Linked DNA regions of Ovis aries. The protein of the gene in region 2 interacts with the protein of the main gene of each other region in a pairwise test. Links are inferred from orthologs where the notes say so. Each region holds a gene or a part of one and is shown on either strand. Other genes may lie near its edges.

Region 1 (4,254 bases), on a different chromosome or scaffold from region 2:
CATAGATTTGGTGACCCAAAAAGAATGCTTGAGTTTTGCTGCACGTGCTTAAAAATGCAGACAGTAATGCTGAACTGAAGGGTTTCGACGTGGATTCTCTGGTCAACAAGCCCCCAAGATGCTGCACAGGACTTCGCAGAGCTCACAGTCGGATTAACCCCTGCAGGACTCCCCCCGGCACACAGAGATGATCCTGACTGGGAAAAGAGCCAGTTATTCCTAAACGTGCACAGAAACTTGCGCGGAAGAGAAAGCTGTCCCAGAAGAAACTGAAGAAGCAAAAATGTATGGTCTGGAAAATAAATTCAGCATAAAATAATTTCAGGGACTTCCCTGGTGGTCCAGGGGTTAAGAATCCGCCTGCCAATGCAGGGGACACAGATTCAATCCCTGGTCCGGGAAGATCCCACCTGCCCTGGGACAACTGAGCTGGTGTGCCACAATTCCTGAGAACTCACTCTAGAGGCTGTGCTCCGCAACAGAAGTCACTACAGAAGAAGCCTGTGCACGGCAACTAGAGAGTAGCCCCTGCTGGCTGCAGCTAGAGAAAGCCTACAAGCAGCAGTGAAGACCCAGGACAGCAAAAATAAACAAATAAATAAATACAACTTAAAAATAAATGCAAAAATGGTAAAACCAGGTTAAAAAGAAAAAGCCTTCAGCTTACAAACAAGCCCATACAAAGAAAGAAAAACTGCATGTTAGTAAGAATTTATAACTAGAAGGGACAGTTTTCAGAATTTGGGAAAGAATGACCAGGGGCATGTCTGAGGTTAGGTACAAGACATGTGTGAATAGGCAAAGAAGGTACACTTGAATTGAAAATCTGACACTCCCAGGAAATTTATGAACCATTTATGAAACTCTGCACTGATGCCAAAGCACCTCGTGCCTTTGGTACTATCCCTGTGGGTCCACAAGATTTCCCCTTCCTGGAGCTTAGGCTCCAGGGGCAATTTGGAGGCAATTCTGGGAGCAAATCTGTTGGGAAGTGTGGTGGACCCATTGGGTCTGGCCTTTGGTTGCCAAAGAGGTTCAGCCTGGCAGAAGAACAAGAAAAGCCATAAGATGGCAGGGGCAGGTGCCAGCAAGAATGGTAGGCATGCCAGGAAGACACCCACGGTGAGAGGTGCAGATTTCTCAAGGGCAAGGTTGCTCAGCTTACCCAGCTTTGCTTTCCCTGGGGCCAAGAGGACTCACGCGCCAGGGCCAAGGGCCCTGAGGCGCTCTTGCAGCTGGCTTATCTGGCCCTTGGCTCTGAAGGGCCAGGAACAAACAGGCTTCAAAGCTGAGGGCTTGGTTGGCAGACAGGGGCTGGGTCTTTTACCTCTGTCCTGTGTCCATGCTGGCACATATAAGACCCTAGTCATACTCAGAGATGAGGAGGGAAGGTGTCTACAGCAAGATGGATGTGGGCAGCAAAGAGGTCTTGATGGAGAGCCCGCCGGTGAGTCTGATCGTATGTACATGTATGTGTGTGTGTATGTGTGCAACAGTGTATCTGTGTATGATGGGCTCTGCCTCCTCCAACTTCTCCGGGCCTGTTTCCTACCCAAATTCATTCACTCAACTAACCTAGGACTGTGCTAAATTAAGACAGGGACACCAATCACTAAGACAGAGACTCTTGGAGTAGCAGACTCAGCAGCCACTAATTCTCATACAAGGGGCTGTGAGCCATTAAAGGGGTCTGTGGAAAAGACTGTAGAGAGCACTGGGAAAGGAGCCACTACGCGGGAGGTCACAGGAAGCTTTGCAGAGAAACTAACATTTGAGCTGGCTCCAGAGGAACAAGTCAGAGCTCAGCAGGTGGAGAAGGAGGAAGGCATTGCTGGAAGAAGGGATCATACACCTAAAAGCATGGATTTGGAGGGGAACTGGAGGGGATGGGTGTGGCTGGGATGTCAGAGGTGTGGAGGAAACAGCAGCAAGTGAGACTGGTTGAAACAGGCTCTCTTGGATCTGTTCAAGCTAGACCTCACTTCTAAGCATCTATGAGTTTGTTGGAATCCAGGCCCCCTCCTCCAGGAAGCGTCTAACCGGCTCAGCCCTCTTCTGCACATCCATGGCATTCTTTGTTCAGTCCCGGGAGAGACTGGGAGGGTGTCCCGGTTGTGCAGGGAGAAGTGGCATCTTCATGACCTCATACCTGTCTCCTCGCCTGCCCCACATGTCAGGACTACTCAGCAGTCCCCGGGGGCCGGCTCCGCATCCCCTGCTGTCCCGTGAACATCAAACGCCTTCTCATCGTGGTTGTGGTTGTGGTCCTTGTCGTCGTGGTGATCGTAGGAGCCCTGCTCATGGGTCTTCACATGAGCCAGAAACATACAGAGATGGTGAGTAGGCTTGGGATGGGGTGGGCAGTGGATACAGGGCAGGTCAGATAGAGGCCCTGGGATAGAGAGCAAATTGCCCACGGGGAATGAGGGGAGGAGGCAAGTGACGCCTCAGGGAAGGACAGAGGTGGAAACAGGGTGGCAAACTCTGCCTGGGCTTTTTCACCAGCCCCCACCCCACAGTTGGACAATCTGTTCCCTCCAGTGCCTGGTTCCCCTGGGCCTCTCTGAGCTCCCAGGGAAGAAAGAATTGCATTTGAGTAAAGAGGACTGGGGCCTCCCAGGCGGTGCTAGTGGTAGAGAACCCGCCTGCCAATGCAGGAGACATAAGAGATGAGGGCTTCATCTCTTACCGGTCGGGGAAGATCCCCTGGAGGAGGGCATGGCAACCCACTCCAGTAACCTTGCCTGGAGAATCCCATAGACAGAGGAGCCTGGAGGGTTACAGTCCACAGGGTCTCAAAGAGTTGGGCATGACTGAAGTGACTGAGCGCAGCACAGCACAAAGGGAACTGAGGGTGGGCATGAGGTGCAGGGATGAGTGGGGAAAGAGGAATGCCAGGCAGCACGATGCCCTCCTCTAGGTTCTAGAGATGAGCATCGCAGGCCCGGAAGCACAGCAACGCCTGGCCCTGAGTGAGCGTGTGGGAACCACTGCCACTTTCTCCATCGGCTCCACTGGCACTGTGGTGTATGACTACCAGCGGGTGGGTATGCGTGGACCTCTTGACCCCAAGGCTAAGGAACCAGTGATAATTCTGTGCTAGACCTCTTCTGCTTTGGCCTTCCTACAGGTTCATCTCTCCCCACGCCCAGCGCTTTTGCTAAGCGCCAGATTCCAGTACGACTCCTTCCAGTGCCCAGCCTAGAGGGGGATGGCCTAGGACCAGAGTTAGGAGTGAGCTAGGCAGCGGCTTCCGAACTGACCCTCATATGTTCCCATGCCCAGCTCCTGATTGCCTACAAGCCAGCCCCCGGAACCTGCTGCTACATTATGAAGGTGGCTCCGCAGAGCATCCCAAGTCTCGAGGCTCTCACTAGAAAATTGCCGAACTTCCAGGTGGGTGTATGGGTAAGAGGGAGTGGGTTGGTTTTTCCCAGGGCTGCTGGCAGGAGCATTTTAGATGATGATTTTGTCACCTGTAAAATGCTGCTCCTCGTGGACTGCCAGGCGAATGTTCTCCCTGGATCCCCCTGCACCCAACCTTTCCTAGCCAAGTTCCCCATCCCTGCCCCGCAGCCAAGCTGCTGGCTTAGCTGAGCCCACACACCCCCTGGGGGCTCTGACTCCAGCACAACACCTTCTTTACACAGAGACTGCCTGGTACACCTGAGGTCCCATGATAAGGACCATAGGTGAGACAGAAACTGAGTTCCCAGGCTCTAAACCAGATGCTCTTTCCAGGCCAAGCCCCCAGTGCCTTCCTCGAAGCTGGGCCAGGAGCAGGGCCGTGACGCTGGCTCAGCATTCTCTGGGGACCTGGCCTTCCTGGGCAGGACCGTGAGCACCCTGTGTGGCGAGGTGCCCCTGTACTACACTTAGGACTGGTCAGGTGAGCAGGTGTGACCTCCAGGGCACAGGAACAGACGCAGTCCTGACGGTTTGGGCCACCTCTTCACGTCAGCTGACCAGGCACTGGGGGACCCAACAAGATGGGGTCACCTACAGAGCTCCAGGGAGGGAAGGTTCACAAACACCCCCTCCAGTCCTCCCTCACATAATAAACAGTGTTTCTTCGCTTCCCAGGGCCTCAGGAAGCCCCAAAGGGACAGTGGAGATCCAGGAGCAAAGGGTCTTGTGCAGATTGGCAGGAAGTGGATACTGTCGACACCACTGGGACTGGCCCTGGAGAAATGGGAGCTGTGGGGAGAGGTGGGCAGAGGAGAAGCAGTTCCTAGGGCCCAAGGGGGCTCCTAC
Region 2 (3,561 bases):
ACCTGTTGGATACCACCTTACCAAAAGATCACAGTTAATAAGTAATTTGACACATCACATATTACCTCTTTGGTATTCTTCTTTCCAAAATTGGATATCCTCTATTCAATTTTGAGACAATATCAGCCGAACCAAAATTAAGGACCATTTTACAAAATAACTGATCAGTACTCTTTAAACTGTTAAGGTCACAGAAAACAAAGAAAGGCTTGAGCTGTTAAAGATTCAAGGAGACCTGACAACTAAATTAAATATGGAGTCCTGGATTGGATTCTGGACCAGGAAAAGGGTCTTATGGGATAGCTGGCAAAACTCAAGTGAAGTCTTTAGGTTACTTAATAGTATTAAAATCAATGTTAATTTCCTGTTTTGATGATTATACTGTGGTTATATGAGGATAACATTTGGTTGGGGTGAAAAGCTTTTGTAACTTTTCTTACATTTAAAATTATTTCAAAAGAAAATTTCTATTTTTTTCAACTTGTTAAATTCAAAACACTCCAATAAAATAAATTTTTCTAGTTAAATTTTGCTTGGATAGCAAACACAGGCCTGATCTGTATAAGAACTAAATGCATTAAGCAGAGCATCACATTCTTTCTGTATTGTCACAAACACTCTAATGTTCTTCCTGTTCTGAAGTCTGGATATAAATCTCACACAGAGTCCTGCACCTCTTTCCTAAGACTTTGTGATCATATGTAACTCCTATATATCCCAGACTTGGAGTTTTAGATATCTTCTAGAAAATAGTTCATTGATTCAACAGATTTTTATTGTGCACTTATTATATACATACCAGGCATTGTTTGGGCTTCCCTGGTGGCTCAGAGGTTAAAGCGTCTGCCTGCAATGTGGGAGACCTGGGTTCGATCCCTGGGTCAGGAAGATCCCTGGAGAAGGAAATGGCAACACACTCCAGTATTCTTGCCTGGAGAATCCCATGGATGGAGGAGGCTGGTGGGCTACAGTCCACTGGGTTGCAAAGAGTCGGACATGACTGAGCGACTTAACTTTCAGGCATTGTTTGGGGCAATGGAGAAAAGTGAGTGAACAAGGCAGTTAAAAACCTCTCCCTTCATGAAGCTTGGATCTCATTGGAAGACTATAGATGACAAAAAAAATAAGCATATTTTTGAAGTATGTTAATAAATGTAATATAGAGAAAAATAAAGGAGGAAAGGTGAATGCCAGGGTTTGGGTGCAGGAGAGTATTTTATCTTTTAAATCAGCACTCATTGAGTTCTGTGTCCCATTTTTAAAAATCTTTTTTAGAACATAACTGCTTGATTTTATATATATAAACACATATATATATTTATATATAAACTTTATAATCTGTCTTCTCCCAGTAGAATGTAAGCTCCATCTGAGTGAGGTCTTTGTTTACTTAAAACCAAAGAACAACACCAAACAGATAAATAAATTTCCATTGAATAAATTCTCCCTCAAGTGTTCTCTCAGGTTCTAGTTTAGCCCCTTAGACTCAAGTAAATATTTGTTGATTTCATTAATATACAGATTCAGGTTATATGAGCCCATTTTGCTGAATAACTTGTATGAGTTTTTTTTTAACCTTTCTGGGATAAGAACCCTTAAGATCCTAAGACTGCTTCTTAGTTGCCTGTCATCTTGAGGAATTTGTTTAGCTTGTTTGCATGGAAGTTTATCTATTTTAAATACAATACAAAACGCTTTTCCTTTTGAAAAATGAAAAACATAAAAGGAGAAACCTATTTCCCTTTTAAGCTGTGGAGCTTTCATAGCTGAATGTCTTAAAGATATTACATTGTCTTATCTGTAGTTGAAAAATCCCCTCATTCCACTCTCATATTTCACCCTGTGGCCTGTTAAAGTTTTATAGTTGCAGCATCCATTTCTTCTTCCTATAACCCTAATCATCATTTATTTTTATATTTTCAACAGTGTTATTTACTCGTCTACTATACCAGCTGGCGGAATGTCAAATCTTTTTTGACTTTCGGTTTAATCTGTCTATGCAACATGTATCTCTATGAACTGCGCAACCTCTGGCAGCTTTTTTTTCACGTGACTGTGGGAGCATTTGTTACACTACAGATCTGGCTAAGGCAAGCCCAGGGCAAAGCTCCTGATTATGATGTCTGACACCATCCTTCAGACATATTGCCTTGCCTTAAAGAGGAAAAGGAAGGACACTACCACTGTGATGAAGAAACTGTTCACCACAAATGAGAAGCTCTGCTTTCTTTCTCTCCAGCTGTCCTTTTTAAGTCAGCATGGCATGCCTGTGAGCATGCAATACCTGGTAGGCAAATTCCTGTCAGCAGAATGTTGGCCATGATTATCGTTCAGAAGAAGATGAAGAGCCCTCTCTACAGGGCAATGGCATTGGAAGAACAGTCAGATGCCATTGGAAGACTTGGCCAACAGCTCTGAATCATGGCTGGAGAATTCAGTCAAGAAGTGTGTGTGGTACTTGCTCTGAGAACCAAGCAGGAACTCTACAACCCCAGTTTGCCTTTGTGAGGCATTAGTACAGACCAAATAAAAGATGCTGCAGTGAATTGGAAAGTTTATGTGTAAAACAAATGACTCACTAAATATTAGATCATTTGCACATTTATTGTACCATGAGTCTATGAAGTCCTGATTGGTATGGAATGGTTTCTTTTTCCTTTTATATTTTTGCTTGAATCTTAACTCTGGAAATCACCTGATGTAGGAGAAGGCTGTGGTGAGCTCATCCCTAGAGCATCATAAGTATTGAAAACACAGTGACACGTTTCTTTCCTAGACCACATTTACACCTTCTTTTGAAATCACTTTTTAAAAATATGTCATTAGGCTATAGCCATTATTTGCCAAACTTCAATCACTTAAGTATTACTATTACATATGCTATTATTTACTTAATATTTATCTTTTAAATTTTAAAACATTTTAAAAAGAAACTAACCTCTACTCCAAGTGAAAAACCAGCATCAGTTTGCCATTAAAAAAGAGAACTACAAAATAAATTAAAAATAAAACAGGATGTTGTGAGATTCTAACTGGATGCTAATGACTGCCAAGGCTCTGAATCCAAGAAGCCTACTCTTTCTTTATTGCAGTGAGAGATGTTAGCTAGCCCCAAAATGGGCTCTCTCTGTGGAATTATCAGAAGTTTAAAAGAAAATTATAAAGGGAATGACATTCACACTGTGACTCAACATCATTTAACTCTGTGTTGTGTATCACCTAAAGTCATCTCACAAGCCACCAAGTGATATGGGTCCTGCCCTGTGGAAACACTGAGTTGTTCTAAGAGTCAGAAGGTAACTCCTCTCTCAGCACTTATTATCCCTCATATTATTTCATGACTTCGAGGAGTTAAGCACCTACTATCTAAGTGGTGCTTTTTGATAACTTGTAAAGATTGTTTAAGCAGTTGTGAGAGGAAGCATATTTTGGTTCTGGTTTTGAGGGCTTCCCAGTGGCTCAGATGATAAAGAATCTGCCTGCAGTGTAGGAGACCTGGTTTGATCTCTGGGTCTGGAAGATCCCCTGGAGAAGGGAATGGCTACCCACTCCAGTATTTCT
Region 3 (4,228 bases), on a different chromosome or scaffold from region 2:
CATCTATCTCACTCCTATCTTTACTCTTTCACTAAAAGCAGAGACATCACTTTGCTGACAAAGGTCCATGTAGTCAAAGCTATGGTTTTTCAGTAGTCTTGTACCAATGTGAGAATTGGACCATGAAGATGAGCATCAAAGAACTGATGCTCTCAATTACGGTACTGGAGGACACTCTTGAGAGTCCCTTGGACAACAAGGAGAGCAAACCAGTCTAGTCCTAAAGGAAATCAACCCTGAATACTTACTGGAAGGACTGATGCTGAAGGTGAAGCTCCAATACTTTGGCCACCTGATGTGAAGAACTGGCTCATTGGAAAAGACCCTGATGCTGGGAAAGATGGAGGGTAGGAGAAGGGGGAGACGGAGGATTAGATGGCTGGATAGTATCAGACTCAATGAATAAGAGTTTGAGCAAGCTCCGGGGGATAGTGAAGACAGGGAAGTCTGGCATCCAGTCCATGGGGTCGCAGAGTCAGACACTACTTAGTGACTAAATAACAATGAATAACTTAAAAGGGCAGAAAAGTATTTAGTGAAAAGAAAGTATGTCTTTATTCTCTGCTGCTAAGTCGCTTCAGTCGTGTCCAACTCTGTGCGACCCCATAGACGGCAGCCCACCAGGCTCCCCCGTCCCTGGGATTCTCCAGGCAAGAACACTGAAGTGGGTTGCCATTCCCTTCTCCAATGCATGAAAGTGAAAAGTGAAAGTGAAGTCGCTCAGCCGTGTCTGACCCTCAGCGACCCCATGGACTGCAGCCTTCCAGGCTCCTCCATCCATGGGATTTTCCAGGCAAGAGTACTGGAGTGGGGTGCCATTGCTTTCTCCGGGTTTATTCTCTAGCCATCCAATTTCCCCTCCCTGCAGAAAAGCACTGTTTTAGGGCCTTTCAAAATCAGGGCCTAGCCTAATATCCCACTCCTTTCCAACACAGAGGCTTCAAGGAAGTTCAAACGCTCACTGTTCGTAGTCTTCCTGAAGGACCCTCCCAACACACACCCACGTTTGCGTGCTTATTAGTTCATTCGGTTCTTACTGCTTGGATGGCCTTCATAAAGCCCTCACTGGATCAGCATTCTAGCACGTTAATAGATGTCTTTGCACAAGGACAAACTGACCACTAAGGGATGTCTCAGATGCCTTCTTTCCTCTGCCCCTTTGCTTACTTCCAATACCCCACTTCCCTTTTCTTCCGGAGCAGGAAACCAAAAGCACACAGAGAAGACCCTACGCACCTTCGCGCGAATCTCTTGGCGGGCGGCTTGGAGAATTTTGTCCCATTCGCTCCCCGTCTCTAGTCGCAGGGCGCGGCGTCGGCGTGCGTGTCCGCGCAGCCGCATTGCCCCGCGGGTGGGCGGGGCCGGCTGTTGGCGGCGGTTGGCCCGGCCTTGGTGGCGGCTCCACGTGCGGGCGGGGACGATGCGTCACTGATTAGTGAGGCCCGGCCGAGGGGTCGGCCTCCGTCCGGAGTCTGCGGCTGGCTCCCTTCTCAGTTAGTGCCTTCTGCTGGGCGGGGAGGAGTGGTCGTCGGGAGGGGGCTGTCAGGCCGAGCCGTGTCGACTCACGGGCCAGCTCTGGCGGAGCGGGTTGGCGAGGAGGAAAAGGGGGCATAGGACTCCTCAGCTCGGCCTGCGGGACGGCGCCGGGTCGCGAGGGGGAAGGTGGAAACCAGAGGTGGTGGGCCTGTCACTCAAGGGGCTGGGGCTGCGTTCCATCCGCATGCAGGAGGAATTAAGATGAATATGACTCAAGCCCGAGTTCTGGTGGCTGGAGTGGTGGGTCTGGTGGTGGTCCTCCTCTACGCCTCCATCCACAAGATCGAGGAAGGACACCTGGCCGTGTACTACAGGTGAGCAGCACGTGCAGTCAGCTCAGGTTCTAGAGCAGGGAGAGGGAGACTTTTATTCGAGTCTAGGAAATTGTTCTCGGGGAACTTTTTCTAGTCCTAGAAGGTGATTTTCGTCGCATCCCTAGGGGGTTTGGGGGTGGTGGCAGGCTTTTGTAGACAGCTGGACAGTTTCAGTGCTGTGCAGAGATTAAGACTCCCTACAGTTGTTCCTAATAGTAAACCCACTTATTTGTAGGAAAAAATGAAAGGTGGAAGGCAGTGGTCACTCCATCTGTAGCTGAGGAGGTGGATAAATCATTGTTAAATTGCATACAGCTTTACTGACTTTCTGTTTGCAGCTGTAGATGCTATTTAGAAACTTGAGTCCTGTTTGTGGTGGTTTCTTAGCTTTTTGTTTTCTTTAAAAGATTATGGCATCTGGCTTGGGCTTGTAAGGCCATGAAGACCATTACAGTTAAATTCCTGGACCTTGGGAGACAAGCACAGGATTGTGACAGACACATCCTCCCAACCTTTCTCTTTCTTTTCACGTGGAAAGGAATGGTGTGAAGTTTGTTAGTTGCTCTCTAGCTGAGATGAATAGCTGTTCCTTCAACGTAGTTTCCACCAGTTTTTTTTTTTTTTTTTTATGTAGACAGATGATAGTTTGGAGAAATTTGAAGTGGTGTATTTGAAAGAGCTTCAACTTTTTGCTGGCTTCCGCCCATCCTCCCCTAAAACTGATGTTTCCACTTTTAGATCCACCTTGAGTCTTAGGAATAGTCTTAGCAAGTAGGGGTGGGAGTCTGGCATTTTAAAAATGACAGATTAGTCTGTATTTCCATCTAGTTCAGCATATAACTTTCTTTCAATGAATTTGAAATTTTAAAAATTTTTGGAAAAAAAATTTTTTTGGAATAATGGAAAAAAGTGATAGTAAAGGCAAAGAAAGAACATTTCAAGGTGTGGGTTTCAAAGAGTTAGGGATGGACCTAAAACAATTAATCTTTTCTTAGTTATTTGTTATGAATTCTTTGCAAATCTGTTTATATTTTCAAGATAGAAAGCTAAGTTCTATGAATTTACTATTCACTATATAAAACAGAATTTCATTTTTATTGTTGCCTCCAAATTGCCTCCTTTTTATAACTTCCAGAGTATGGTGTCATGTTTCTTACATTTCAGAATTTGGTGAACTTCTATTCACATCTATGCTTATAACATTGATTTATAGTTTTATCTCTTTATTCTTCATCTTTATATGCTAATTTTTTGTTGATTTTATAGAGGCTTTATAGTCCAAGTATTTTTTAAAAAATTTTTGAAATATAGTTAATTTGCAATGTTGTGTTTTAAGTGTTTAGCAAAGTGATTTATATATGTTTATATATTTTTCAGATTCTTTTATGTTATAGATTATTACAAGATACTGAATATAGTTCCTTGTACTATACAGTAGGTCCTTGTTTACCTATTTTATATATAGTGTTGTGTATATGTTAATTGCCCCCAATATTGTAATTGCTTTCTATGTAGAGTAAAAGAATCGTGAGCATCAGAAATTTTCTCCTTACTTGGAAGTTTGTGTTATCTCTTTTTTTTTTTCCAGCCCAGTGATTAAATGTATTATGTTTTGATCTGGCTTGTGTTATGTACAGTTAAAGTACATCAACTGAGAGCCAGCTGAATTTTTTTTCCACAAGTACTTCTCAAAAGATTAAAGACCAAAGAGAATCTTTATACCTGAAAGTATGGTGGAGACCCAGAGATGTGGTTGTTAGAGCTTGTGAAACAAGGTGTAATGTTAACAGTTTAATTTTATCTTTTCACTTTTGTAGGTATGACAGATACTGTAGAGACCAGCAATTGTTCATCACAAGTAACTTATACTAGTGAGGCTTTAGTAAATCAATAGAATGAGTAAGAGTGAATGTTTATTGTAGCATTTTAGATTTGGAAAGAGAATTTCTCTTTTTATAATCTTATCAAATTAAAACATCTTTTTGCAGGGGAGGAGCTTTACTAACTAGCCCCAGTGGACCGGGCTATCATATCATGTTGCCTTTCATTACTACCTTCAGATCTGTGCAGGTGAGTGATTCCTAGGGAAGCCCTGACACTAGAAAGACAAGTGTGACAGGAACAGTTACCACATTCATGGGTAGAGATAGATTTCCTTATTGCTTAAGCAAATGATAGTATGCTACCAATGTAGAAGCTAAAGTTCAGAGTACAGTTGTCACAGCATAAGTTATGACTTTGAACGACATCACTCTCTGGAAGTATGAGCTAGGCAGCTTTTAAGGACTGACTTCTCCCATCTATATAGTGGAATACAGCAGGTTTTCTGTTTTGCTATCAGAGTAAAAGCAAGATTTTGAAACACAACTAGAGACATA

The links. The genes of interacting proteins can lie anywhere in the genome.
Region 1: the proteins of SEC22A (region 2) and SFTPC interact in binary tests that used the Homo sapiens proteins (3 or more experiments, as listed by UniProt). The two-hybrid records come from large-scale screens. The link is inferred for Ovis aries from reciprocal best matches to the Homo sapiens genes SEC22A and SFTPC.
Region 3: the proteins of SEC22A (region 2) and ERLIN1 interact in binary tests that used the Homo sapiens proteins (3 or more experiments, as listed by UniProt). The two-hybrid records come from large-scale screens. The link is inferred for Ovis aries from reciprocal best matches to the Homo sapiens genes SEC22A and ERLIN1.

The regions. Positions count from the first base shown.
Region 1 is NC_056055.1:43,446,638-43,450,891, reverse strand, and holds the start of SFTPC (pulmonary surfactant-associated protein C), read left to right. Parts: upstream 1-1,393; 5' UTR 1,394-1,405; coding exon 1,406-1,447; intron 1,448-2,177; coding exon 2,178-2,336; intron 2,337-2,920; coding exon 2,921-3,043; intron 3,044-3,285; coding exon 3,286-3,396; intron 3,397-3,741; coding exon 3,742-3,879; 3' UTR 3,880-3,889; intron 3,890-4,083; 3' UTR 4,084-4,254. UniProt on the Homo sapiens protein: Pulmonary surfactant associated proteins promote alveolar stability by lowering the surface tension at the air-liquid interface in the peripheral air spaces.
Region 2 is NC_056054.1:188,498,737-188,502,297, forward strand, and holds part of SEC22A (vesicle-trafficking protein SEC22a), read left to right. Parts: intron 1-1,926; coding exon 1,927-2,127; 3' UTR 2,128-3,561. UniProt on the Homo sapiens protein: May be involved in vesicle transport between the ER and the Golgi complex.
Region 3 is NC_056075.1:20,870,941-20,875,168, reverse strand, and holds the start of ERLIN1 (erlin-1), read left to right. Parts: upstream 1-1,367; 5' UTR 1,368-1,493; intron 1,494-1,726; 5' UTR 1,727-1,737; coding exon 1,738-1,850; intron 1,851-3,838; coding exon 3,839-3,920; intron 3,921-4,228. UniProt on the Homo sapiens protein: Component of the ERLIN1/ERLIN2 complex which mediates the endoplasmic reticulum-associated degradation (ERAD) of inositol 1,4,5-trisphosphate receptors (IP3Rs).